7 linked regions of the Cricetulus griseus genome follow. The protein of the gene in region 3 purifies or fractionates together with the protein of the main gene of each other region. This does not show direct contact. Links are inferred from orthologs where the notes say so. Each region holds a gene or a part of one and is shown on either strand. Other genes may lie near its edges. The genes, in order: Dnajc8, Ddx42, Sf3a2, Sart1, Prpf3, Plrg1 and Snrpa.

The links.
Region 1: the proteins of Sf3a2 (region 3) and Dnajc8 purify together in Homo sapiens (affinity purification with mass spectrometry; 3 studies listed by BioGRID and IntAct, with this or other methods). This does not show direct contact. The link is inferred for Cricetulus griseus from reciprocal best matches to the Homo sapiens genes SF3A2 and DNAJC8.
Region 2: the proteins of Sf3a2 (region 3) and Ddx42 purify together in Homo sapiens (affinity purification with mass spectrometry; 3 studies listed by BioGRID and IntAct, with this or other methods). This does not show direct contact. The link is inferred for Cricetulus griseus from reciprocal best matches to the Homo sapiens genes SF3A2 and DDX42.
Region 4: the proteins of Sf3a2 (region 3) and Sart1 purify together in Homo sapiens (affinity purification with mass spectrometry; 3 studies listed by BioGRID and IntAct, with this or other methods). This does not show direct contact. The link is inferred for Cricetulus griseus from reciprocal best matches to the Homo sapiens genes SF3A2 and SART1.
Region 5: the proteins of Sf3a2 (region 3) and Prpf3 purify together in Homo sapiens (affinity purification with mass spectrometry; 3 studies listed by BioGRID and IntAct, with this or other methods). This does not show direct contact. The link is inferred for Cricetulus griseus from reciprocal best matches to the Homo sapiens genes SF3A2 and PRPF3.
Region 6: the proteins of Sf3a2 (region 3) and Plrg1 purify together in Homo sapiens (affinity purification with mass spectrometry; 3 studies listed by BioGRID and IntAct, with this or other methods). This does not show direct contact. The link is inferred for Cricetulus griseus from reciprocal best matches to the Homo sapiens genes SF3A2 and PLRG1.
Region 7: the proteins of Sf3a2 (region 3) and Snrpa fractionate together in Homo sapiens (co-fractionation; 3 studies listed by BioGRID and IntAct, with this or other methods). This does not show direct contact. The link is inferred for Cricetulus griseus from reciprocal best matches to the Homo sapiens genes SF3A2 and SNRPA.

Annotation. Positions count from the first base shown.
Region 1 is NC_048595.1:20,719,148-20,722,647, reverse strand, and holds part of Dnajc8 (dnaJ homolog subfamily C member 8), read left to right. Parts: intron 1-1,370; coding exon 1,371-1,437; intron 1,438-1,964; coding exon 1,965-2,059; intron 2,060-3,500. UniProt on the Homo sapiens protein: Suppresses polyglutamine (polyQ) aggregation of ATXN3 in neuronal cells.
Region 2 is NC_048600.1:119,185,218-119,188,717, forward strand, and holds part of Ddx42 (ATP-dependent RNA helicase DDX42), read left to right. Parts: intron 1-1,136; coding exon 1,137-1,265; intron 1,266-1,958; coding exon 1,959-2,058; intron 2,059-2,586; coding exon 2,587-2,634; intron 2,635-3,315; coding exon 3,316-3,413; intron 3,414-3,500. UniProt on the Homo sapiens protein: ATP-dependent RNA helicase that binds to partially double-stranded RNAs (dsRNAs) in order to unwind RNA secondary structures. Unwinding is promoted in the presence of single-strand binding proteins.
Region 3 is NC_048598.1:101,580,290-101,584,350, reverse strand, and holds the start of Sf3a2 (splicing factor 3A subunit 2), read right to left. Parts: upstream 2,801-4,061; 5' UTR 2,653-2,800; intron 292-2,652; 5' UTR 256-291; coding exon 130-255; intron 18-129; coding exon 1-17. Other genes in the region: Plekhj1 (pleckstrin homology domain-containing family J member 1), read left to right, coding at 3,195-3,288, 3,372-3,439, 3,513-3,579. UniProt on the Homo sapiens protein: Component of the 17S U2 SnRNP complex of the spliceosome, a large ribonucleoprotein complex that removes introns from transcribed pre-mRNAs.
Region 4 is NC_048596.1:53,945,745-53,949,863, reverse strand, and holds the start of Sart1 (U4/U6.U5 tri-snRNP-associated protein 1), read right to left. Parts: upstream 2,801-4,119; 5' UTR 2,725-2,800; coding exon 2,412-2,724; intron 270-2,411; coding exon 212-269; intron 1-211. UniProt on the Homo sapiens protein: Plays a role in mRNA splicing as a component of the U4/U6-U5 tri-snRNP, one of the building blocks of the spliceosome. May also bind to DNA.
Region 5 is NW_023276806.1:60,668,367-60,671,866, reverse strand, and holds part of Prpf3 (U4/U6 small nuclear ribonucleoprotein Prp3), read right to left. Parts: intron 2,126-3,500; coding exon 1,982-2,125; intron 213-1,981; coding exon 113-212; intron 7-112; coding exon of another isoform or gene 1-6. UniProt on the Homo sapiens protein: Plays a role in pre-mRNA splicing as component of the U4/U6-U5 tri-snRNP complex that is involved in spliceosome assembly, and as component of the precatalytic spliceosome (spliceosome B complex).
Region 6 is NW_023276806.1:71,273,978-71,276,788, forward strand, and holds part of Plrg1 (pleiotropic regulator 1), read right to left. Parts: intron 2,574-2,811; coding exon 2,424-2,573; intron 2,239-2,423; coding exon 2,137-2,238; intron 1,441-2,136; coding exon 1,338-1,440; intron 382-1,337; coding exon 273-381; intron 1-272. UniProt on the Homo sapiens protein: Involved in pre-mRNA splicing as component of the spliceosome. Component of the PRP19-CDC5L complex that forms an integral part of the spliceosome and is required for activating pre-mRNA splicing.
Region 7 is NC_048602.1:8,724,761-8,728,792, reverse strand, and holds the start of Snrpa (U1 small nuclear ribonucleoprotein A), read right to left. Parts: upstream 2,801-4,032; 5' UTR 2,660-2,800; intron 2,198-2,659; 5' UTR 2,176-2,197; coding exon 2,103-2,175; intron 331-2,102; coding exon 158-330; intron 1-157. Other genes in the region: CUNH19orf54 (UPF0692 protein C19orf54 homolog), read left to right, coding at 3,755-4,032. UniProt on the Homo sapiens protein: Component of the spliceosomal U1 snRNP, which is essential for recognition of the pre-mRNA 5' splice-site and the subsequent assembly of the spliceosome. U1 snRNP is the first snRNP to interact with pre-mRNA.

The sequences.
Region 1 (3,500 bases), on a different chromosome or scaffold from region 3:
TCACATTTGGATGGGGCCTGGCTGGTGTTGCCTGTAATACTCCGATTCTGCACAGTGGTCTTATTAATATACAGGGCTTCCTCCAGTGCAGTTGATTTCTCCACATTGCTGACTCATAGTTACCTCTGATCTCCCAGCAAGCTATATTAAGCTAAGATGGTTTTTTGTTTTTGCCTGCTCAGTCATTTCCCATTATATAACTTTATAGTTTTATTCTTCCTGAGCACTGATCTAGGCTTAAACTCAGCGTGCCACCCCCCCCCCCTCCAAGGTCTTGTTTTTCCAATACAGTCCAGTAACAGTTGTCCTTAGACTTTTCCTGTAGCTAATGAACTTGAGTTACAAGTTCTTACTGACTTATTAGATGGCCTTATAATTAAGAGTACATATGACTTTAGTTTTAATTTGTTCTCTTACTTAGGAGCAGTGTGCACTTGAACACGTGCTTTGGACCTTTCTGTGTCTATTTTACCTCAGTTGGTAAATGTGTCCAAATATTTAAATCAGGTATTATATACAGTAGGCTTTCAATGGATGTCTTGATACTTTGTATATGCTAACCATTGTCCATGGATATTTGTGTGCAAATTCATTCACTTCTTCCTTTTGTTTTCTTTTTTTCTTTGATCTCTCTCCCTTCCCTTTACCATTTCCTCTTTTCCATTTACTGTCATCCCTTCCCTCTTCCCCTCCCCCCTTTCTTCTTACCTATCCCACAGGGTCTCACTTTATAGCCCAGGCCAGCCCTGAACTCAATTCTCCTCAGTGTTGAGATTTCAAGAAATGGGCCCTTATATTCAATTTATGCTCATTACTTGCATTGTTCATTTTGTCCACACAACAGACTATTTAGATGTAGGTACTTTGTATTTTTCCAGTGATAAAGCAGGAAGCCAAAGTGAAGATAAGCTGAGTTACTCAAGGTCTCGGAGCTAGCATGTGATTGAAGTTAGAATTACAAACTGTCTCTGGCACTTCAGGGGATTAACATTAGATTTTCATCTCCCAACACGGATTCTTTTTTTGCTTCAACTAGTTTCGGTCCATCTGTGACAGCAAGTCAGGAATCTTTTAAATGTCTTAAAGAATCATCTCTGGAGGTTTTCTTTTTTTAAATAGTTTATTTATTCTGTGTGAGGGTGTTGGATCTTTGAGTTATAGACAGTTGTGAGCTATCATGGGGGTGCTGGGAATTGAACCCAGGTCCTCTGGAAGAGCAGTCAGTGCTCTTAACTGCTGAGCCATCTCTTCAGTCCCTGGAGGTTTTCTTATAAAAAGTTCATGTTTTGTTTATTATTTACTGGTGTGTGTGAAGAGTTCCAGTCACTTGCATGAACTGTTGTTGAGCCTGACTTTTCTCTTCCATGTAGTTGTCTATATTGGTGCATCCTGACAAAAATCAAGATGATGCTGACAGAGCACAGAAGGCTTTTGAAGGTATTTGTAAATTTACCTGCTTTTGAATACTATATACTGTCAGTGCTAAGGAGTAACTGGTTATGGATAAGCTGTGGATTTCAGTAAAGCAGCCATTTAAGCAGAATGTTAAAGAAGTATTCCTTGGGGGCTGGGGTATAGCTCAGTGCTTGCCTGGCATGCTTGAGGCCCTGGGTTCAATCCCCAGCACTGCAAAGAAAATGCACCTTAACTTTGCTTGGTTAAAACTTAGGTGTGTACCAATATACTTTTATTACATAGGATCTTTTTTCTCTGAACATAAGTAAAGTGGGAAATACTTTATCAATGTTTTAATCTAGATGTGCTATGTCTAGTTGAGTGTATAATTTTTTTTCCTAAGACTTTCAAGGTTGTATGCTTTTTAAAAAATGAGTTTAACAATGGTAAATAATGTAACAAAGTAGGGAATGTTTTTAGACAGTGCAAGTCCATTTACACTGCCTGAGTATAGCTCAGACTTTGAGAGGGTATTTGCAGAAACAGTTAACTTCAATGTTTTGCATTAGCTGTGGACAAAGCTTACAAGTTGCTACTGGATCAGGAACAAAAGAAGAGGGCCCTGGATGTAATTCAGGCAGGAAAAGAATACGTGGAACACACTGTAAGTATTTCTAGTGCTGCTGTGTTTACAGGAAGTAACAGCAAGCTGTGGGCACTGTGTAGAAGGGTATATGCAACCTACCAGTACTGACCACGTAGCTAGTGACCACTTTTATTCTCTCTACCACTTCTGTGGTGCTCATGAATAGCAAGCAGCAAAAGCTAGCATTCTTCAGAGAGCTCAGGGTAAGGAGTGGTTAGTACACTGCCACTCCCACTCCTGTGTTGTGTAGATGGCCACTTTGGCCTCCCAACCAAGTAGCCATGCTATCCCATTGAGAGTGGAGAAGCAGCGTGGCTGTGGCATTGTTGACTCCCTGGTTTTTCTTTAGTTGCTGTGAAAGGTTTGAAAATGAGAGGCTGTCAAGGAGCTCTGAGTGGGTTGTAAAGCAGGAGGAGGCACATGTTTAGTTAATAAAAAGACTCTGAAGACTCATTTGAAACAAGTTTTAGCTTTTGTTTATTTGTTTGTTTAAAATGGGGTCTTGCTGGGGGTACAGGGTATCCTTCAACTTCCTAGGTAGCCTGGACTGGCCTTAAATTCTTAATCTGCTGCCTGACTTGCTGATCCATGGAATTCTGGATTATATGCCATTGCATCCTACAGAAAGAGCTTTCTTCTTTTTTTGGTTGGATTATTTTGAGAGTCTTATGCAGTTCATGCTAACCTCAAATTAGCTATATACCTGAGGCTGACCTTAAATTTCTTTTTAAGCCGGGCATTGGTGACGCATGCCTTTAATCCCAGCTCTCAGGAGGCAGAGGCAGGCAGATCTCTGTGAGTTCGAGGCCAGCCTGCTTTACAGAGAGAGTTCTAGGACAGCCAAGGCTACACAGAGAAAACCCTGTATTGACTATCCCCTCCCAATTTTTTTTCTTTTTAAATCTTTTAGCTATGTTTATTTATGTGTATGAGTTTTTTGTCTGCATGTATGGGCATACCTGGTGCTCAGAGAGGTCAGAAGAGGGTGACGTGATCCTCTGAAACTGGAGTTAAGAATGGTTGTGAGGTTCTGTGTGGGTGCTGGGAACTGAACCTAGATCTTGGAGCAGTCAGTTCTCTTGACTGCCAAGCCATGTTTCCAGCCCTGGCCTTGCGTCCTTGATCCTTCTTATGTCCAGCTGCTAGGATTATAGGCATGCACCACTATGCCCAGCTAGAAGGCTCCTCTCTCTCCTCTTTTTTTCTTTTTCTTTTTTTTTTTTCTTTGCCCCTTGGAGTGAGAATCAACCATTTACAAGAGCAATTTTAATGGTGAGTGTATCAGGAGTCCATCTTTGTTTTGAAGAGCTTTGGAATCTGAAGTGGAAGTTTATGGGCAATAATAATAATAATAATAATAATAATAATAATAATAAAGACAATCCATTTTATATGAAGACAATGAGGAGAAAAGTAGGAAAAGGAAAGGTGTACAACCAGGTCCTGCTGGTTGTGCTGA
Region 2 (3,500 bases), on a different chromosome or scaffold from region 3:
TACCATGCTCACCCAGCTTTTGTGTGGGTTCTAGAAGTCTAAATGTGAGTCCTCACACTTGCATGGCAAGTGCTTAACCCACTGAGCCTTCTCCCCAACCTCCCCCTACTTCTGTTTTAAATGTGTTAAAACTGTATACAAAATTGTATACTTCAACCATTTTAAGTGTATAGTTCGCTTGCTGACAGTAAGTATATGCACATTATTATGCTCCCAGGAAAGTCTTGAAAAATGTTAGATACTATCCATTACAAAGATAACATAATTTTTTTTATTTTACTCTCAAACTTTCTTGTTAAACTGATAGGATCAAAAAGAGGATGAGTAGGCCAGGCAGTGGTGACGCAACACCTTTAGTCCCAGCACTTGGGAGGCAGAGGCAGATGGGTCTCTGTGAATTCGAGACCATCGAGACAAGAGCTAGTTCCAAGACAGCCTCCAAAGCCACAGAGAAACCCTGTCTTTAAAAAAGAAAAAGAGCATGAGTGACTCAAAGCAAGATAATACCTGTATTTTAGGATTAAGATGGCTGTGATAGCCATGCCTTTAATCCCAACACTCAGAGGCAGAGGCAAGAGCCTGGTCTACAGAGTGAGTTCCAGGACAGCTAGGGCTGTTAAACAGAAAAACTCTGTCTTGAAAAGCCAAAACAAACAAACAAACAAACCAAAGAATGTTGATTTTTAAATCATGTTCTAGAATTTGGTATTTCTCCCACCCACATTTGTTTTCATGTGGGGTTTTTTGGTTGTTTATTTATTTTTGGTTGTTTATTATTTGGTTGGCTTTGGTTGTTGTTGGTGGTGTGGGTATGTGTTCAATAATAGGAATTGCGCATATAGCCCTTAAGTATTAGGCAAGTGTTAAACTATATTCCCAGCCTCTTCTGTTTGTATTGTTCTAGTTTTTGTTTTTTCAGTTAGTATCTCATTAAATTACCCAGATTGGACTTGGACTTGCTATCTTCCTCCTAAACCTCCCAGGTACCTAGAATTAGAAGCCTATGCCACTAGTCATAGCTAGGTTTTGATTTTTCTGTAATAGAACACACTGTGTTGTTCAGAACTCTCTTTTGAGGAATGGTAAAAGTATTTATTAAAAGCTTATTTTTTAAAATATTATTGATGACTTTTTAGATCCATGCCGAATGTAAGCGGTTTGGGAAAGCATATAATCTCCGCTCGGTGGCCGTATATGGAGGAGGGAGCATGTGGGAGCAGGCCAAGGCCCTTCAGGAAGGAGCAGAGATTGTTGTGTGTACCCCAGTAAGTATATCGTGTTCAGTGATCTCAATCCCTCTTGATATAGAAAACGGGATTACTTTTGAGGGGAATTCTCTCTAAAATGTAAAGCTAGGTTGGGAATACCCTGGTGAGTTGCTGCCTTTTGTTTTGGTTTAATTATTAGTTGACTAAACCGCAATCTAGTTATAACATCCATGACCCATGCAGCTCCAAGTTTTTTCCTGTTTCAAACAGGTTTTCTGAGGCTCTCCTAAAAGCTGTATCTGTGGCTATCAAGAATGTGAAGAATATAAAGATACTCAGATAATGTTTAGAGGCACCCAGAGGATGTAGGTTAAACATTCAGAAGCTTTTAAGTCTTCTCAGAACATATTACATGAATGGTTCCAGCCCATTTATTCATAGAATTTATAATTAATATAAAGGAAGAGTTTGATTTTAGAATTCTATTTTTGCTCAGTATGGTGGCATTTGCCCTTAGTCCTAGCACTTAAGAGGCAAAGACAGGTGGACCTTTGTGAGCTCCAGGCTACTCAAAAACACCCTGTCTTAAAAAAAAAATTTGTTTCTCTATTTTTCTGAGGTTGTTGCATAAAGGCTGTCAGATCAGTATCTTTTTCTAAGACCAAAGAATTGACACTTTTTCCAGGAATGTAGCTGTAAATGTCTTTGTGAATCTTTTTATACTTAATATTCATTTTGTGACTCTCACAGGGTCGGCTGATTGATCATGTGAAGAAAAAAGCTACTAATCTTCAAAGAGTCTCTTACCTTGTGTTTGATGAAGCCGATCGGATGTTTGACATGGGATTTGGTATGCCTTTGAGTATTAGTTTCTTGTGTCCCTGTCCTGAAGTTAGTTTATTCCAAGTTAACTAGTACTTTTAATCGTGAAAAAGTTAAAAAATACTTCTGGATTTCAAAAGAAGGGATAGACCAAGCCATGAGCTATGTAGGTGTTTTTTGAAGGGAAGTGTGCTAGTCTTGACTGTATTGAGAAAATTTACAAGTGCGCATAACAGAGGGAATGTTTTCTCTATTCTTTATTTTTAGTCACAGGCCTTTGAAGGTTAAAGTCTATACTCTTGGGTAGGCAAATATTAAATCATGCAAGGTCCTTTCCTGGTCCCTTTGGCTTAACCAGCTATGCAAATTTCTAAATAACCATATCTACCCAGTTCGGCAACTCTGAAGTGTTTTTGAAATTTCATACTGCATGATGTCTAGGAGTTTCAGGACTTTTTTAATCCTTGGAAGTTGTGTGAATGTCACTAACGTGACTTTTTACAACTCTTTTAACACTATTACAGTATTATGTTGATTACTGTTCTGTTTCTTTCAGAGTACCAGGTTCGGTCCATAGCAAGTCATGTCCGTCCTGACAGACAGAGTATGTATGAAGCAGCTTTATAATAAAAGTATATTTATATTCAAGATGAACACCTATTCTATAAGTACTCACAGTTGTGGAAGCGAAAATTACTGTGTATACACTGATGATAACTGTAAAGGGGAGAGTTAATGACCATTTATGTGCTCTGAAAAAGACCTTAGAGGTTACTAGATAGAACTCTTGTACTTTCTGTTTTCCACAATAGTGAACCTAAGTCTTCCTGCATATTAGGCAAACACTCTACGTCTCTGTGTTACATGCATATCTCCAGGCCCCCCTTTTTTTTATCTTATTGTTCAGGTAGAGTTTTGCTAAGCTGACTAGGCTGTGCTTGAACACTCACTCTGTATAACCTAGACAGACCGTAAACTTGCAGTACTCCTGCCTCATCCTCCAAACACCTGGCACTACAGATCTATGCCATCAGGTCCAGCAAACTGCTCACTTTTTATAGATAATAAAACTGAAATTAAATAATTTGCTGCAGTTTAATTGCTGATTTGAAATCAGAGCATTTTCCTGAACCATTTTGACAACTCATTTCTTGATTGAAAATAAAGTAAAAACAAAAGAAAGAAAATCATTTTTATTTAGTTGAATCGGTTGCATTACAGAAACTTAATCAGTAGACTCAGTAAGAAATGCTTGTTATTTTGTTTTTTTGTTTTAATCTTTTAGCTCTCTTATTCAGTGCAACTTTTCGGAAAAAGATTGAAAAATTGGCCAGAGACATCTTGATTGACCCTATTCGAGTGGTGCAGGGAGACATTGGAGAGGTAATATTACACAAGTCAGGGTAGCTCCTGGGATTTTTTATAGGGACATAAAGAGTTTAATTCTTTTGTTTTGTTTTGTTTTGTTTT
Region 3 (4,061 bases):
TTCATGAAATATGGGTCCTTGGAGGGAACATATGTACCCATTAGATCGCAGAGCCTGGCCCCATGAACCTGGGTCTGTAGGTGTGGGGACACTGCTCCCTCCACACCCCTACTGTAGGTACCCCCCCACCTTGTTGATGTCAATGGTTTCTAAGGCCAGCTGTCGCAGGCGTTCCCTGCGGTCCCGGTTGCTCTCAGAGGAGGAGGCCACGCCCCCACTCCCAGTCTTGCCTCCAGGTCTGTGCTGGAAGTCCATGGTGAAGGCCTGGAAGCTTCAGGGACACACAGAAACCTGGAGGAACAAAAGGGCAACAGATTCAGAACAGCACACATTCATGCAGCAAGCAGGCCTTCCCTTGCCTTCTATGTTCCAGATTGGATTCCACCTTACCCTTAGAGTGAATGTGGATTGGTGGAGAAGCAACCAGCCCAAGACCCTAGGCTAGTGTCATTTTTTTCAAGTCTCACGTAACCAAAGCTAGCTGTAAACTCACTGTGTAGCTCAGGCTAGTTTAACTCCTGGTCCCCGTAAGCACTGAAATTACAGGGGTGTGCCATTATATCTGTCTTTGGTTATGAGGTAGGTGGGGGACAGGCAGAGTCTCATGTAGCCTGGGTTGTCCTTTAAACTCCTGATCCTCCCAAGTGACTGCAGGTATGAGCCACCTTTGCCTGCTGTGTCATATTAAGATGGGGGGGGGGGTCTCTTTAAGTAGACCTGGCTGTCCTCAGAGATCCATCAAGTGTTGGGATTAAAAGACCTCACACACCCATCTGACACACAAGGATTATGTTTTTTCCTAGTCTTCCAAGTCCTGAATGTTGTCCACTAGGAAGAACACTTTAGACTGCTCATTGTCTGCCCCAGGGCCTTGGTTTAAACCCAGAGGTAAACTCAGGGACATGTCCAGGAGACAAGTGGAGGGCAGTCCTTGTCATCATTGTTGGAGCCTCATACAGCAAAAGGAATTTTGAAAATGATATCAAAAACTCCGAGGGCCAGGTAGTGTCACCATGGAGTCAGAAGGACTCAGGGCAGAGACACAGTGAGGTCGCTGGCTGTTGACTCTGGAGGAGGAAGGGGCAAAAGCCAAGGGACACATGGGCCTTAAGACGCTGGGATGGCTGAGAGCATTCATGTGTACTGAAGCTGTCTGTGGGCAGGACCAGCCTGTCTGGTCTGTTTCATGCTCAGCCACACAGGACTGAAAAAGAAAAGCACTGCCTATACCTTCGAAAGCTACCAGGAGACACAGACCCACAGATGAAGTTGGCCAGATGCAAGAGCAGAGTCCAAGGCTGGCCGCAGGCTTCCCAGAACAAGAGGGTACCTGGAGCAGTGACAGCATGAAAACCTACTCTGACTTCTGGTGTCCAGCCAGCCACAGGCTTGAGGGTACAACTCAAGGCCCCTAGAGTCTTGCTTTCACGTGTAGGGGTGTGGGCACCCACTAAATGAAAAATGCAATTCATCTGTTTTGGAGAGGCTAAAAAAAAAAAAAAAACAAGAAAACCCAGGACAAAACTAGCTTGGGTGAGCATGCGCCTTGGTTCTGGGGTAGGAGCAGAGTCTTGCAAAATCTCACCACTGAGCTACCTTTCCCAGCCTGTGACATTTTCAACCTCGGGAAACACTAGCAATTGTGGTGGGCATGGTGGCAAACACCTTTCACATCAGCTCTTGTCTTGGGAGGCCAAGGTAGGAAGACACCCGAGTTGGAGGCCAGCCTGGGCTGCACAGTAAAATCTTGTCTTAAAAGCATTTGGTGTCCTTCCAGAGGATCCAAGTTCAGTTTCTAGCACTCAAACTGGGCAACTGACAACCACCCGAAACTCAAGCTCCAGTGGATCTGGACTCATTCACATGCACAGACACACATACACACGAAGAAAAGATAGTCCCGGAAAAAGAAACACGGGGAAAGCAATGCGAACACCAGCACTTATCTTTCTGCTTCCTGACTACAGCTGCCTCAAGCTCCTGGGACAAAACTTCCCCACCAAACTGAATTGCACTCCTACTGTCAGCGGTAATAAACCCTTCCAAATTAAACAGCCAGGTGCGGCGGCATATGCTGTTAATCCCAGTCGTCCGGAGGCAGAGGCACCGCGATGTGTGTGAGGTAAGAGTTCCTGGTCGGCCAGAATTGGGCAGGGAGACACTGTCTGAAATAGAAGTTCTGCCAACGCCTGGATGCGCTCACAAGTGAGGCGTGGGGCAGGAGGGAGAACGGATGGATGGAGACGAGCTACCTCACGGACCACCATAAGATCACCGACAAACGAGACAGGGAAACGAAGTGCTGTCTGAGAAGGAGACGGCCTGGGATGGAAATACCGTTATCTTCCAGTCCCAGCAAAGGACCGGCTCGGGTGGGCGGCAGCAGCAGTCGCCAGGGCCCTGACTAACGACGAGGAAAGCTGAGGCAATCAAGGAGCTCAAAAGACCCTCAGGAACCGGGGCACGCTGGGGGCCGCAGACGCGCCACGGAAGCCCGCGATGCCGCCGCGGCCACTGGGCCGCGCGAGCGCCGCCGCGCCGCCCGCCGGCCGGCCCTTCCGTCCAGCCCCGCGCCCTCGCTGCTGCTTCCGACCCCCTTCCGAGACACCAAAGCCGGGGTAGCTTCCACCAACAAGCCGAGTAACACCTCACCGGCGCCAAAGGCCGCGCAGCCCAGGCGTAACGTCCGCGAGGCCCACGATTTCGCTGTGCGCACGCGCAGGCCGGACTAAGCAGTCACTTCCGGGGGAAAATAAGGCGGAGTTTCGGTTGTGCGCATGCCCAGAAGATGGACTCGGTTTAAAGAGGCGCGAGTGAAAGGAGCGCCGGAGTCCGAAGTGCGCACGCGCACTGAGTTATTCACGAACTCTCGCTGAGTATCGCGACAGGACGAAATCGTTATGTCTCAGCAGCCTCGGAACGCGCTTCGCTTGACAGGGGGTGCTACGGATCTAGCTTGATACCTCACGTTTAGTGTGTTTGACAGTTACCTAGGACGGGCGACTTCCTTCCTTTCTGACTCTGCGAGCAACTGCGCCCGCAGACACGCTAGCGCCCCGGCGCGCAGGCGCAGTAGCTCTGCTGGGACTTCCGGGAATGTTCCCTGAGACTTTTGTGGTGCTGAGCGCACCTTCCGAGCGGACGGCGGCCGAGAGGCAGGGCGCCCTCCGGTTCGCGCGGGTCCCCACGGCGTGATGCGGTACAACGAGAAGGAGTTGCAGGCGCTGTCCCGTCAGCCGGCGGAGATGGCGGCCGAGCTGGGCATGCGGGGCCCCAAGAAGGGCAGCGGTGAGCGAGCCGGGGCCGCGGCTGGGCACCTCCCCGGGGGGCGGAGGAGGACAGTTCCCGCTGACACCGCCCCGTGTCCGCAGTGGCCAAGAGGCGGCTGGTGAAGCTGGTCGTCAACTTCCTCTTCTACTTCCGCCCGGACGAGGCCGAGGTAGGGGCGTGGGGGGCTCGGGGGGCCCGCGCGGCCCGGAGCCGGCCGGCGCTCATGGCCGTGTCTCGCGCAGCCCCTCGGAGCCCTGTTGCTGGAGCGCTGCAGAGTGGCCCAGGAAGAGCCCGGCGGCTTCTCCATCAGTAAGTGCGCCGGTCCCCACAGTCCCCACTCCGGACTCTGCTCCGCACACCCCTCCCCACCCCCGCCCCAACCTCCGTTTGTCCTGGATCCCGAGTTTCCGGGGCCCAGCGCTGCATCAGCTGTCAAATTGCCCCCGGGTCTGGTCCCCGCTGGTGCGACCATAGTTTCTTCCCCGCCTTCAGTACCTGTTCACGGCAGGGATATGAGCAGCCTGCGCAGACTTTGTTGGTGTGGCATAAACAGTTCCTCCCGCCGGCAGGGCTTCTGAGGTTTTGAAGTGACATCTGATTCAGCCTTCTTCCTTGGTGATCTTTACAGTACCGTCCTGTAGACATTTGGCCCTCATGTCTTCCTCCATCATCACGGGGTTCTCCATCACTACCCTTAATTTCTGCTTCTTGCACGTGTATATTGAGGCCAGATGTCAATTTCTGATGTCTTCACCTCTCCCTTAAAACAATACATCAATATGTACACATAC
Region 4 (4,119 bases), on a different chromosome or scaffold from region 3:
CAGGCTTCCAGAACAGGCTTCCTGACTGGGGAAGACTATCCTTCCTCTTGGGTCTCAGTTTCTTCCACGTAGCTCCTATGGTTGGCAGTATGACTCATCTGGCCATTCCAATTCTAACTGGCTTCATTTAGATTGAAAAAGTTTCTATAGGTAACAGCCCCAGGTGCAACCAGTCTCAGAGGAAAATCAAAACAGCATAAGGGCTACTCACTTGGTCTCCTCGATGCTAAGTGACGAGGCATCTCCAGAGCTAGTTTTGGAGCTGGCAGCTAGAACAATAAGGAGCACGGCTTAAGGAACCCATGAACATGGGACCAAGAAGCAACATCATGGTCTTCAGTTGCAAGGTCGAAGACAAGGGCCCCCACCAGCACCTGGGTAGATGACACCAGAAAACAGCAGCCTTCTTCCCCCAGGGTTCCCTGCAGCTGCTACCCAGGCCCTTATCTTTTTTCTGCATCCCTCACTGTGCCACTCCAAATCTCCACACTCTACCTTCAGCCTCCACAGTCCCTTCTGCTCTTGTTCTCATAAAGTTCTATCAAAAGAGCAAGTATCATCTCCTCCATGAAGCCCTGCTCAATTACTGACCAGAATTAAAACTCTGCCTAGAACGGCACAGCACTGCTTGTCATTTCTGGCACTTTCTGCCCACAGCAGTGTATGGAATACTTACTAGTGTGTGTTCCATGCCAGATGCTATGGACATAGGAAAGGAAGCACTCTGGACCTGATCTATCCACCCCACAAACAGGAGAGAACTTCAATAAACACTATACAGAGGAAGATGCCACCAGGATGCCCAAGTCCCCTGTCACACACTACTCACTGCTCTTTAAACCCTTCCTCCTCCACCTAGGCTCTGGACCCCATTTTCTATATGAACTCTCAAGTCTCAAGTCTCCCTTTTTCCAATTAGCAGATTATTAAAAAAAAAAAAAAAGTTTCAATTTAGGGGCTGGGGAGATGTCTCAGTGGATAAGAGCACTTGCTGTTCTTACAGAGGACCCAGGTTTGGTTCCCATAATCTATATGGCATCTCACAACCACCTAACTCATTTTCAGGGGATCCAATGTCCTCCTCTGAACCTCCACAGGCACTAGGAATGCACCAAGTGCATATTCACATATGGAGGTAAAACACTCAAATGCATAAAATGAAAACAACCCTTTGTTTACAAGTTCTGGTTCTGCATAATGCCCTGTGGTGTGTGATGCTCTTAACCACTCTGTCTTTTCAACAATCATCTCTTTGTACAGATCCTATGACCCAACTGTAGTGTTCTTGCCATTTGGCTACTCTTTATTTTTTAAGTATGTTTCTCTGCCCACAATTGAGCTATTGGCATTTACTAAGTTCTATTTCTGATCCTAGTTCTCACTCCACACACTCTAGGGCACTTTGGATTCCTGAATACACACTAGCCTCAAATCACTCTATCCCACTTAAACTGTAGGTTTTCCCATACACACTGACCAAAGCTCTCCCAAACTGGGTCATTCTCCCTTGCCTCAAATCTGCTAGTCTTCTAAACACCAACTTCAACAGATGAAAACCATTCACCAGGCGGGTAAGGTCAAAACTCCAGGAGGCATTCCCTGTTCCTCATCCCTCCCATCCCCTTAGCCCACGCACTAAATTTTGTTCATTGCACTTCCTAAACACCTATTCAATCTTTCCAGTCTCTCCACCCTACTGCATGGAGAAACATGCATACTCACTGTTAGTCCTCACCTGGTTGGGTTGACCTCCCTCCTAATCTCAGGGTCTGTAGTCCTATTTTTGACAAGCTCTCAACCCAGAGATCCTTTTTTTTTTTTTTTTTTTTTTTTGTTTTTCGAGACAGGGTTTCTCTGTGTAGCTTTGGAGCCTATCCTGGCAGTCACTCTGGAGACCAGGCTGGCCTCGAACTCACAGAGATCTGCCTGCCTCTGCCTCCCGAGTGCTGGCATTAAAGGCGTGCGCCACCAATGCCCAGCTCAATCCAGTGTGATCTTAACATATGAAGTAAATCAACCCACTTCCCTACTCAAATCCTCGACTCCCTACCGTCTTCATCACAAAGCCCAAATTTCTCAACAGAGCTTACAGCACAGGGTCCTTGGTGTTCAGACCCAAGCGTATCTTACTGCTTCATGACGATTCCACCTACTGTCAGGTTTCTCTTGCCTCTGTCTGTGCATGCTCGCACCTCCTCCTTTCGCCCACCCACCGCATTTACTGTCAAGTGCCAGACGGGAAGGGGAAACGCAAGACCCCGGTCCTTCCGAAGCTTAACATGGGGAGTCAGTCTTTAGTCCCCAACAGCCGGAGCAAGTCTTCAGCCCGAGAGGCACAGGCCCTGGCGGTCACCCTGCACCCTCCGTCCCGCGCACCCCAGGCCCCTGCCCCGCCCCCGCCCCGCCCTCACCGGCCTCGTAGCCGTCATCGCGTTTCTCTCGCTTCACGCGCCGCTCCGAGGGCTCCGCTTGACTTCGTTCGCGACCGTGCGCGCCGCCGCGGGCCTCGGCTTCGGCCCCGCGCCTCCCGCTCCCGCGCTCGCCCCCACGCTCGCGGCTCCGCTTCCGTCGTTCGCCGCCGCTGCTGCCGCCGCCGCTGCTGCGATGTTTGTGTTTCTTGTGCTCTCGATGCCGCGGCGGCTGCTCGGTGGCGCCCCCGGTACCGGCCGCCGCCGTCGTCCCCGCCGCCTCCTTCTCCCCGCGGTGCTTCTTTGACGACCCCATGACTAGTGCGTCCGTCTGGAGCCGGGCCGCCACCCGAGCCCAGACGACGCAAAATGGGAATACTTCCGGGTCGTGCGGCCGCCGCTGCGCTGTTGCCGGAAACTAAGAGCGGCTGCTTCCGGGGCCGGCCTGGGAACCTCCAGAGGCTCATGGGAGGGACGGGTTGAGACTGCGCATTCCCGGCTCCCGGGGACTGGCTCTGCGCATGTGCACCTGTAGAGGCTACGGGGTCGGCATTGGCTCTCCCGGGTTAGAACTGTAACAGCTTTGGAATCGTGCTAAAAGCCACCGTCTGCGGAGCTGGGAGCTCTTTCCCTGACCTTTCCACTCCGAGAGCCTCGTGGCGCTCTGTGCCTCAAGCCTCTTCGTGGGCGTCCCCTCCTCCAGTGATTGTCCTTCTCGTAGGCTCCCCGGGGCCGGGGATCCGTCCGGGGTTGGAAGATACCGCATGTTTTCTTCTTGAAGAAACCAGCTGCAAAGCCCCAGACTTGCAACCCCAATAAACCACTGTTGCCAGCGAATGCTACCGTCGCCCACTTTCCCTGGATTGGTAGATTGGGTCTTTTTAACCTGAGCTCTGGACTGCTACGGAACACTATGAATTTGTGCCTGTGAACCCCGTGAAATTGAGTGCTGTTTTTGTTTCTAATTTTCTTTTTAAGATAGGGTCTATATAGGTCTGGTTGGCCTAGTGCTTGTTACGTAGCCCTGGCAGGTCTCGAACCCTCTGGTTCAGCCTCCCGTGTGCTGCGAGTGGCCGGGATTTCAGGCATGCTCGCCCAAGCCAGGCTCAAGTGCAAATTGGGCAGATCCGTTTTTCTTTTGCCTGCCTGCCTTCCTTCCTCCCTTCCTTCTTCCCTCCCTCCCTCCCCCCCCCTCTCTCTTTCCTTCCTCTGTCCCGTTAACTATGTGGCCTCAGTCCGGGATTACAGGCACAAGCCACAATGCCTTGCTTTCCCAGCCTTTTCTCTCTTCCTGGGCTTTTTTATTTGGTTGATTGCTTGTTTGGTTTGGTTGTTTTGTTTTGGTCTTGAGGAGATGAGCTTTAAAGTTAAGGATTCACACACTCCCTTCTGCTACTAGTTGCTCCTCTGTGGGTTTCCTGTGTAGCACACCTCGGCGTGTTTTGGTATGGTTTTCCTGCTCCTTTACGGCTCTGCTCTACTACTGAGTCTTCAGAGGTGGACCTGTTCACTAGCATTTCTAGGTGTCCCACTCAGTAGCAGAGACAGCATGTGTTTGCCGAGGAAGGGGTGCAGCCAGGGTTCCCAGAATATGTGGGAAGTAGCTAAGTCCAGGCCACCCACTTACCACTGCCCCCCCCCCGCCCCACAATGCATAACCAACTCCCGTCAGAAGTCTCACACCATACTTGCCATAAGCATTTAATTTTTA
Region 5 (3,500 bases), on a different chromosome or scaffold from region 3:
GCAGGGCTAAGGGAAAGAGAGAGCAACAGAGGACTCTCCCCTCCCTCCAATATGGACCCCAGGAGGGTCTGGAAAGGCAGTGTCCTGGGCCCCACCCACCCACCACACTTACTTCTGTCTCTTTGCCATCTGGGCTCTGACGTGGGCTTCTACCTTCGTAGGGTCTTGGACCGCTTCTGTTCCTAATACTCGCATTAAATTTGAGATTCTCACTACAAAGGAGAGAGGACAGCAATCAATCTCCTAAGTTATTTCTCTAGCTAGGACAATCTGTTTTGTTGTTTTAGCTCACAAACATTGCTTATTTCAAATCTCTGTTCAAAATTCACTTTCTACAATAATTTCTACCCTGAAAATCCCACTCAGTTAATGTGATTTTGTAGAAGATCAAACTATCTAAAAAATTCAGTGATTTTTATCATGAAAAAGCATTTATCTCTCATTCATCTGCATTAAAAAAACAAACAAACCCTATAAACCAGGTTGTGGTGGCGTATGCCTTTAATCCCAGCACATGGGAGGCGGAGGTGGAGGCAGACTGATCTCTCTACAAAGCAGGTTCAGGACATCCAGGGATACACAGAAATCCTGTCTTGACGTCTCTCCACTACAAAGACTTTAGTTTCATTTAATGTGTATGAATGCTTTGCCTGTGAGTATGTAAGCACAGTATGCAGTACCTATGGAGTCTAGAAAGCATGTGAGAGATGGTTCAAAGTTGCCATCTAGATGCTGGGGGAACTGAACCTAGGTCCTCTCCAACAGCAGTCTGTACTTAACCACTGAGCCATCTCTCTCTAGCATTTGTTTTCTTTTCTCTCTTTTTTGGTTTTTAAAGACAGGGTTTCTCAGTAGCTATGGAGCCAGTCTTAGAACTTACTCTGTAGATCAGGCTGGCTTCAAAGACATGTGCCACCACCCCCTCCCTGGCTATTTTTGTTTTCTTGAGACAAAGTCTCCCTATACAGCCTTGGCTGGCATGAAATTTGCCATCCCTAAACCCCAGATCTCAAGTACTCAGAAGTCGGGGGAGTGTACATGCTTAGTTCTATATTTTTGAAAAGTCTTTTTTCTTTTTTGAGAAAGGGTCATTTTCTATGTAGCCATGGCTGACCGGGAACTCAGTATATAGACCAGGCCAACCTCTGCCTCTTGATTCCTGGGATTAAAGGTGTTCATAACCATGCCCACTTTTCGTTTGTAAGTTTGGGTCTCACTGTGTAGCTATGACAGGCCTGGAACTTCCAGTGTAATACAGGTTAGTCTGTAACATGAGATCCTCCAGTCTCACCGTCCCAAAACCTAGGATTACCAGCCAGTGCCATCATGCCTGTCTATATGTTAAGAATCATGTATAAAATTCCATAAATATGGACAGGAGGTGACGCACGCCTTTAATCCCAGCACTTGATAGGCAGAGGCAGGTGGATCTCTATGAGTTCCAGACCTGCCTGGTCTACAAGAGCTAGTTCCAGGACAGGCTCCAAAACCACAGAGAAACCCTGTCTCGAAAAAAACAAAAACAAAAAAACAACAAAATAAATAAAAATACATAAAAATCCATAAATACCACAACTATTGTCTTCATGATTTTTTTTGTTTATTTTTTTCTAGAGAGAGTTTTCTATTTAGCCCTGGCTGTTCTGGAACTCACTCTGTAGACAAGGCTGGTCCCAACCTCTGAGATCTGCCTGCCTTCATGAATCTGAAGACTAGCATCCTTTCTGTAAACTGTAGGGAGCCAATACAGCAAATAATGCTTAAAAATAAGCGCTAAATGACTTCTTTAATAAAATGTCTTGATCTGTCATAAGAAAACATAGCATAGATTACAAAAAGAAAAGAAAGGAAGAAAAGAAACTGTGAATGATTCAGAGAAACAAACAACAACCCCCAACCAGTTAAAGTGCCTCTCGATGAAAAAAGACAGACTAATTGACTGACTTGACTTTTGTGGTATCAGGGCCAGCTAGACACTTACCTTTGGGTTCAGGAGGAGGCATCAGACCGAGCCTGACTTTCTCTTGTAGCTCCTTTTGTGCTTCCCTCCTTGTTTGCCTCCGAAGCTTCTTCTGTTCCTTTTTTGTAAGATATACCCCAAGGGTAACTGGTGTATCATTGTCGACTATGAGAAAGAAAAAACGAGTTACCCAAGCTTAAGATCACAGAAGTATTTAGGTAAGTACCCATCACATAGAACAACAGAGGGAGGAAGTTGAAACAGTCTTTCTTTGTAGTCCAGGCTGACCTTGAACTCTACCTACTGTTCCCACCTCAAAATTGCTGGGATGACAGGCATTCACTAACTGTGCTTGGCTTATTAGTTACTAAGTGGTGAGAGGGATAATTTGGTTACGTTTTACTAAATATAAGTATTAATCTCTGAAAAAAAATGTTCTAGGTTGTTTTTCCTTTAATAGTTGAATACTTTCACCAAATGAAATGTGTAAACCGTAGCCCTGGTAAGGATTTGGAGAGGTAAAAGTTTCTAGAATTTTAGTCAGGCAGTGGTGGCCTTTAATCCCAGCACTAGGGAGGCAGAGGCAGGCGGATCTCTGTGAGTTCGAGATCAGCCTGCTCTACAAGAGCTAGTTTTAGGACAGCCTCCAAAGCCACAGAGAAACTCTGTATCGAAAAACCAAAAAAAAAAAAGTTTCTAGAATTTCACTCAAGTCCTACTTTCTGAACTTTGCTGTTTCCACGGAATACAATTTAGAAACCATTAACCTACAGAACAATAAGTTTTGTCTTGGGAATGAAGCTATGTATGTTAACTACTATACAAATACCACCTCAATTTTAGTACTAGGAAACGGGTGGGGGTGGGAGGGATCCCTGTGGAAGGGGCTGGCTAAAGAGATGGTTCAGTGGTTAAGAGTAATTACTGCTCTTCCAGGGGACACAAGTTCAATTCCCAGCACCCATATTAAACACCCCCCCCCCCCCCCCGCCCTCCCCGTGTGTGTGTGTGTGTGTGTGTGTGTGTGTGTGTGTGTGTGTGTGTGTGCTCGTGTGTGTGTGCGTGTGTGTGTGTGTGTGTGTGTGTGTGTGTGTGTGTGTGTGTGTGTGTGCGTGCGTGGGTATTAGTATATGTGTGTATGTATATATGGGCACACATTCTGTAGACCATCTCATAGAGATGTACCTTGCCTCTGCCTCCCATATACTGGCATACTACCACTGCCAGACCTCAGTGAGCACATAATTTTATAAATATCAGCTGTTCTGTGAGAAAATTCTCAATGCTCTAAGTGACTTACTGAAGACACTCAACTACGGAAAACAGACACAACTATAACCTCTGCTGTCTCCATCTTCAACTATACACATTACTCAAGTTAAAAAAACAAACAAAAAACCTCCCTCTTTTGAGCTAGGGTCTTCATATGTATCCCATGCTTACACTGAATCACAAGTCTCTACAGTGGTGGGTTTATAGACATCTACTAACACATCAAGTTAAATCACCTCTTTTGACTGAACTACTGGACTTTTACTAT
Region 6 (2,811 bases), on a different chromosome or scaffold from region 3:
CACCATCTATGACATGTAAAAAGTAAAACATACTCAGCCATTATTACCTCCTACTTTAACATGCAGTTTTAAGCATGACTTAGTCTTATTTGTCACTATGTAGAGACTTCCTCCTTCATTCTATACAGGGCGTGAAGTAAAATAGCAGCAGACAGAAAATTAAAGAAAGTTTGTCCAAAAGCAGCACAGGCTGCAGGACTGCAAAAGCAGTGCTGATGTTGGAGTTCACTAAGGCATGGAGAAAGAAAAGCTAATTAGCAAAACATACTTACTGTCGTGGATGTAAGACCACAGCCCTGACTGACTTCTTATGATTGGTTAATGTTACTCTTGTCTTTCCAGCTACCAGATCCCACAATCGTATTGTTGTGTCGTGACTTCCTGTAACGAAAACACACACACACACATGAATACAAGTACAGAGAGAGAGAGAGAGAGAGAGAGAGAGAGAGAGAGACACACACACACACACACACACACACACACACACACACACACGGGGGGGGGGGGCGCGCGCGGACACGACAGAGAGACAATGACAGAATCCACAAGTTAGAATACAGTAAACACAAAGCACTCCTCTGTACATAAACATACACTAAGTAGAAGTCCTACCACTGTGAATACTTTCCTTACAGTTTTACTTTATATCTAGTTCTTTTTAAAATGCCTGATTGAGGCACTAGAGAGAAGGCTCAGTGTTGAATAGCACTTCTTAGCCTGGTTTGGTTCCCAGCACCCACACAGTGATGCACATCCATCTGTAACTCCGGTTCCAGAGAATCTGCCACTCTCTTCTGATCTATGTAGGCACCAGGTACACACATAATGTACATACACAGATGCAGGCAAAGCACTTCTACAAATAAATCTAAAAATAAGAAAAATAAATACCTGATTAACCTATCAAAATATATAAATAGCAAATGAACCAAACATGTAATTTTATCCCCCAGTGGCTGGGAAAGGAAAAGCTGAATTATTTCATCTTATATTTCTAATTAACAAAACCAAGTGAAAGAATGTTTTGTCACAGTAAAGTCCCAGTCATTCAAGTAAGACTCAAGTAAGACCAGATCTGAAGATGTTGGTGGCAGGGTATTTTCTAACTTTAACTCCCTAGAATGAGAGTCATGACACTCTAGAGCAACACTTGACTATCTAATGGCAGTTTTATAGACATCTTTCATAACACCTAACACATAAGTTTCAAATGCCATGATTAAAATACAAAGTGACACTAGAACACAACACAAAGCAGGAGTTGGAGGAGCTACAGCGCTGAATGGCAGTGCATCTGGTATGAAGAGACAGTAGGGTGGAGAAGCTTAGCATACCGGTAATTATCTGTGGTTCTGCAGCTTGGCACCTTACAGTGGCGACTGCATTCGTGTGTCCAGACAAAGTGTGGACACTGGCTTTTGTTCTCACATCCCAGATCTGTAAAAATATAACCAACATGCTATGAAAAATAATAGATATTTATACCTGAGAGCTCTAAGTTTTCCACACCAGTGTATCTGAACATAACGAAGAGAATGCATAAATGGGAGACAATGATCCACGTGCTATGGGGAAAGACAGAAGTCTAAAGATCAGGATACTGACCTATCAGCTTAGTCCCACAATGGGACAAGAGAATTAAGCTGGTAATGAACAAACATTGTGATGGCCTAGAGCAGTGGTTCTCACCTTCCTAATGTTGAAACCCTTTAAAACAATTTCTCATGTTGTGGTAAACCCCAACCATAAAATTATTTGTTGTTACTTCATAACCATAATTTTGCTACTGTTATGAATCATAATTTTTGTAAATTATGATTTTGTAAATTATGTAAATATTTGATAAGCAGAATGGTCTTATAACCCCTCTGAAAAGGTTGTTCAACCCTCAAAGGGGTCAAGACCCTCAGGTTGGGAACCACAGGCCAAGAATACAAAGCTGTCACAATTCAGTGGCAGGACATTGACAACAGCAAACAGAACAAACAGAGAAGGCACCAATCCTAAAAGAGACCAGACTGTTGATAAATCAAGAATCTATTGTTCTTTATGAGAAAATAACATGCTAATATCAAGTTTGCATATGAGAAGATACAGACACCAACAACTAGCACACAGCTACATCTCATTTACCCGGGCAGTTGAATCTCGACTACAAGTCACCAGGACATCAATTGTTGGATGCAAATCCAGACCATACACTGCACTTAGATGGCCATGATAGTGCCGTATAACCTGAAGATAAAAGCAGAAGTTCCGAGTTATAAAATTAGAATGATCAACACTGGGGCCTGGGGATACAGCTCCAAGGCAGAGAGTTGGTCTGGCTTGCAAAAGGCCCTGGATTCAATCCCAGTAGTGCAGTATAAACACAATGAACTGTGGCTCATGCAGTTTGAACACCTTTGCTCTAAGCTTACCTTGTTATACTCAAGATCCCAGCACTTCACTTGTTTGTCTTCTCCACAAGAGAACAAGTAAGGACTCCTTGTGCTTACGATCACACCCCGCACTGTGCTGATGTGGCCAGTCAATGACAGCTTTAATTTTCCACTAGCCAAGTCCCAAATCTGAAATCAAATAGTTGTTTTTCTTTACGTTGGTTACCGCCCCCACACACACACACACAAAATCAGAACACTCAGACTCTTTAAAATGATGCCTCTCCATATAAGAGGGAAAATAAGGCACATTCAGACTGGTAAGTATTTGCAAAAAGTGACAAGGACGAGGTTACTACTCTCAATACATAAAAAGATCTACTGATTGTGAAAATACCAACAACACAGCATTATCCATACTGAGGGA
Region 7 (4,032 bases), on a different chromosome or scaffold from region 3:
GCCATCATGCTCAGTGTCTTGATCATTTTGTGTCCCCACAGCCCCAGATTAAGGAACACTGAAAGTAAAGGACCAAGCAAGAAAAGTAGCATCCTCACGGAACACTACAGGCCACACCCACCCAGCTTCCTACAGCCTCCATAGTCAAGATGCTCACCATGGGCTTGTCGTAGAAGGGGAAACCCTGCATGGAACGCAGGGCATTCGTGGCGCTGCTGACCTCCTTGAAGATGACAAAGGCCTGGCCCCTCATCTTCAGGCTCCGAGACACCAGGATATCCAGGATCTGGCCAAACTGGGAGAAGATGGCATACAGGGACTTCTTGAGCTCTGCATTCAGGGAAAACAAGACACACTGTAACAAAAGGCCTGGGCACTGTGTCCTGGGACCTGCACTAACTATCCTTGGATGATGAACAGTTCAAACAAGGGGCCACTGCCAAGTGACAAATTACCCAGAATGCTACAGCACTACAACCCACATTCATACACACACACACACACACACACAATAAATACATAAAAATACTTGCTTCTGTTTACTATTTGTATGTGTGCTAGAATTCAGCCTTTGTAGAAAAGTAAACATTCTACTCCAGGACCTTACTTCCAGGCAAGAACGGAATTATTTGGTGTGGGGTTTTGTTTAAAATTGTACAACCTTGGGACTGGAGAGATGGCTCAGAGGTTAAGAGCACCGACCGCTCTTCCAGAGGTCCTGAGTTCAATTCCCAGCAACCACATGGTGGCTCACAACCATCCGTTATGAGATCTGGTGCCCTCTTCTGGTGTGCAGACATACACAGAAGCAGAATGTTGTATACACAATAAACAAATAAAAATTGTACAACCTTTAAATATATAGTTGTTTTGAGACAAGGTTTTTGGTTTTTTTTTTTATTTTAATTAGGAAGAAAATTACATGTCAATCCCAGGTCCCTTTCTCCCCCCCCCCCTCCTCCCCTGACACCCTCCACGCCCCCCCCCATCCGGAACTAACTCTGTAGACCAGGCCAACCTCAAACTCAGAGATCTGCCTGCCTCTGCCTCCCAAGTGGTGGGATTAAAGGCGTGAGCCAGCCCAAAATATTTTTATTTTATGTGCGTGGGTTATTTTGCCTGCAGATGCTAGAAGAGGATGTCATATGCCCTGGAACTGGAGTTACACATTATAAACCTCCCTTGAGTGCTAGGAATCAAACTCAGGTCTTCTGGAAGAGCAGGCAGTACTCTTAACCACTGAGCCATCTCACCAGGCCAAGTAGGTTTCTTAGTTGCTGAGGTTCAGAACCCAGAGCCTTACCCATGCTAGGCAAGACTACTTGTATTCCTCAGACCTTTTGGAGTCAGGGTCTTGCTATGTACCCTGGGCTGGTCTGAAGTCAAGATTCTCCTGTCTCAGTCTCCTGAGTACTGGGATTACAGGCCTACACCACCACACCCAAAGAAACTGTCTTTGGTATCTTTTTCACTCATTGTGATCATGCAGCCATCTGGGAGTTACTCTGGGAGTCCCTTTCCCTAAGTAACAGAATTACAGCCATCTGCCATTCAAGCAGTTCAAGAATTTGCTTAACAGAACCGCACACTTGTGTCCCAACCATTTTTTTCTTGGTATTTGATCACGGGCAAGTACTACCACCCAAATTCCAATTTCTTAATCTTGAGAGGCTTGTTGAGAATTAAATATCTCCAAGACTACAGAACATTGTTACATAGCATTCATTACCCGTCACTTCTATACGTTCTTTGCATCGTAACTCATCACCAAGACCAACGCCCAGAGGCCAGTGGCCAAGAGACAGTCTCATGATAGCAGACTGCGCTGGGCTTGAGGGAGAGAAAGATCCCAAAGGGCTTCCCAGAAAGGAAGGGCCGGTGAGCTAAAACCTTGAAGATTATCGACAGTGTGCAGGTTAAAGAGCAGAGTGTAAAGTGGTTAAGGGTGTATTGAGAACCAAGGGCTCAGTAGGTACAAAAGGCCAAAGTTAACTCTTAAAGGACTCAATGGCAAGGCTGAGAAAGGAAAGTGGGCGCTAGAGGTGGAAGGGGTCAGCTCATGCGAGATCACCTAGAGTTCCGGGCTATCCCGGAGGACTTACCATCCTTCTTGATCTTCTCATTGAGGTTGTTGATATAAATAGTGTGGTTGGGACGGGTCTCAGGAACTGCCATGGTGTCAGATGCTCAGAAACGGCTTAAAGGGAGAAAAAGAGGCGACTTCAGCTCTCTAACGCTTTCCAAAACTCTCTGTTCAGGGGGCTGACGGGCTCTGCTCAGGGATCCTTCCAGGAGGAAGTTGGGTGAGACCGGAATTGGGGAAGAATGGCACAGCTTGGCAACAAAGCCCGCGTAGGACTCCGCTTCTCCAGCCCGCGTGCTGGGGGGGGGGAGGACTACGAATCCCAGAATGCTCTGCGAGCCTGTACCCAGCGGCGATCCCCATTGGTCCACGCGCTCGAACGGCGTCCAAGGAGGAAAAAAAAAAAAAAAAAAGGAACCCGGATGTGGGAGCCAGTTAAGACAGCAGGGACCGATTTGGGACACCTTCGTCTCTCCAAGAGGGGCCTCCGGAAGCGACGCGGCCGAAGGCCCGACGCCAAGTGCTCCGCCCGCCTCCCCAGCGCCCGCGGGCGTCTCCACCGCGGGAATTCACCACCTGGACCGCCGCGCCTGCCACGCCACTCCGCTCGGACACACAGCTTCCCGTCCCCGGCCGCGAGACGCTGACGGCGCGCGAACTCGGCAGGCGGCGACCGCCCCGAGTGAGAGCCTCTTCCCCGGCCTCAGCGCCCGCCCGCGAAAGGGACACGCGGCTTCCCGCCTCAGCACTAGTCCCCGCCCCCTCCCCAGGTGAGCAGACCAATCAAAGGAGGCGACGAGCTCTGGGCCAATCGGGACCTCGCTAGCGCGCCAGCGCAGGCTGCCCTCTCCGAAGCCACGCCTCTTCCCCTTCCGCCAGTACCGGGGGGGGGGGGGGTCACGTGGCCGCCGGGCCGCGTCGGGAGAGCCTGGCCGGGTCAAGGCCGCTCGTTTCCCTCCGCGGGGAGCGTGTACAAGTTCCTAAGTTCCCGCTCCTTAGGCGACCCTTGACCGCTGTGCCTGCTGTCAACTCTGACCGCTGCCCACCGCTAGGCTGCTTTCCCAGCCGCGTGCCCTTTTAACCTCATGACCTCTAAGCTCCTAAGATCGACCCTAAGGTTGCAGACTCGAGCCGGAGATGTGAGATGAGGCGGGTTACCCCACGCCTTACCCCCGATCTGAGCGCCCTGAGATGTGAGATGAGGCGGGTTACCCCACGCCTTACCCCCGATCTCAGCCCCCTGATTACAGAGATGTGAGATGAGGCCGGTTACCCCACGCCTTACTCCCCCCCCCCCCGATCTGAGCCCCCTGATTACGGAAATGAAGAAAACTAGCTAGCTCTAGTCCCTCCCAATGTCGCTCCATCCCCATGGCACAGCCCGCACCTTGGGGGAGCCTTCTTCTTCGTCATTTGATTCAGCCCAGTTTCTGTTCCCACGGTTTGAAATACCCACCCAGGTTCTCCCAGACCAACTGGTCAGGCACCGTATTCTGCAATTCAACTCTAATTTTTTTTTTAAACTCTTTGTAATTTTTAATACAGGTTTCTATGTGCGGGCCACATGTGAATACCACATCCAGTTGCTCTAAAAACTGAAGTCTCCATCCTTGAGAGATTTGAGAGGATCCCCCTTCTCACCCTCACATCAGCTCTTCCTGAAGACCCGACATGACGTCTTTCCCCTTAAAGCCCACAGTCCCCCCAGTAATCCCCGAACCCCAAGACGCCAGCATTCCACCTCCTTTACCCCCAAGTACCCTGGACTTAGCTTCGCCATCCCCTTCTGTCCCGCCGCCGCCGCCGCCTCCACCCCCACCCCCACCCTTGGCTGTGGAGGTTGTTTCCCCTCATGTCTACGGCCTGGAGAAGAGCCGGCTCCTGAAGGAGGCCTTGGAGAAGGCTGGCCCAGTCCCCAAAGGCAGAGAAGACGTAAAGAGGCTCCTGAT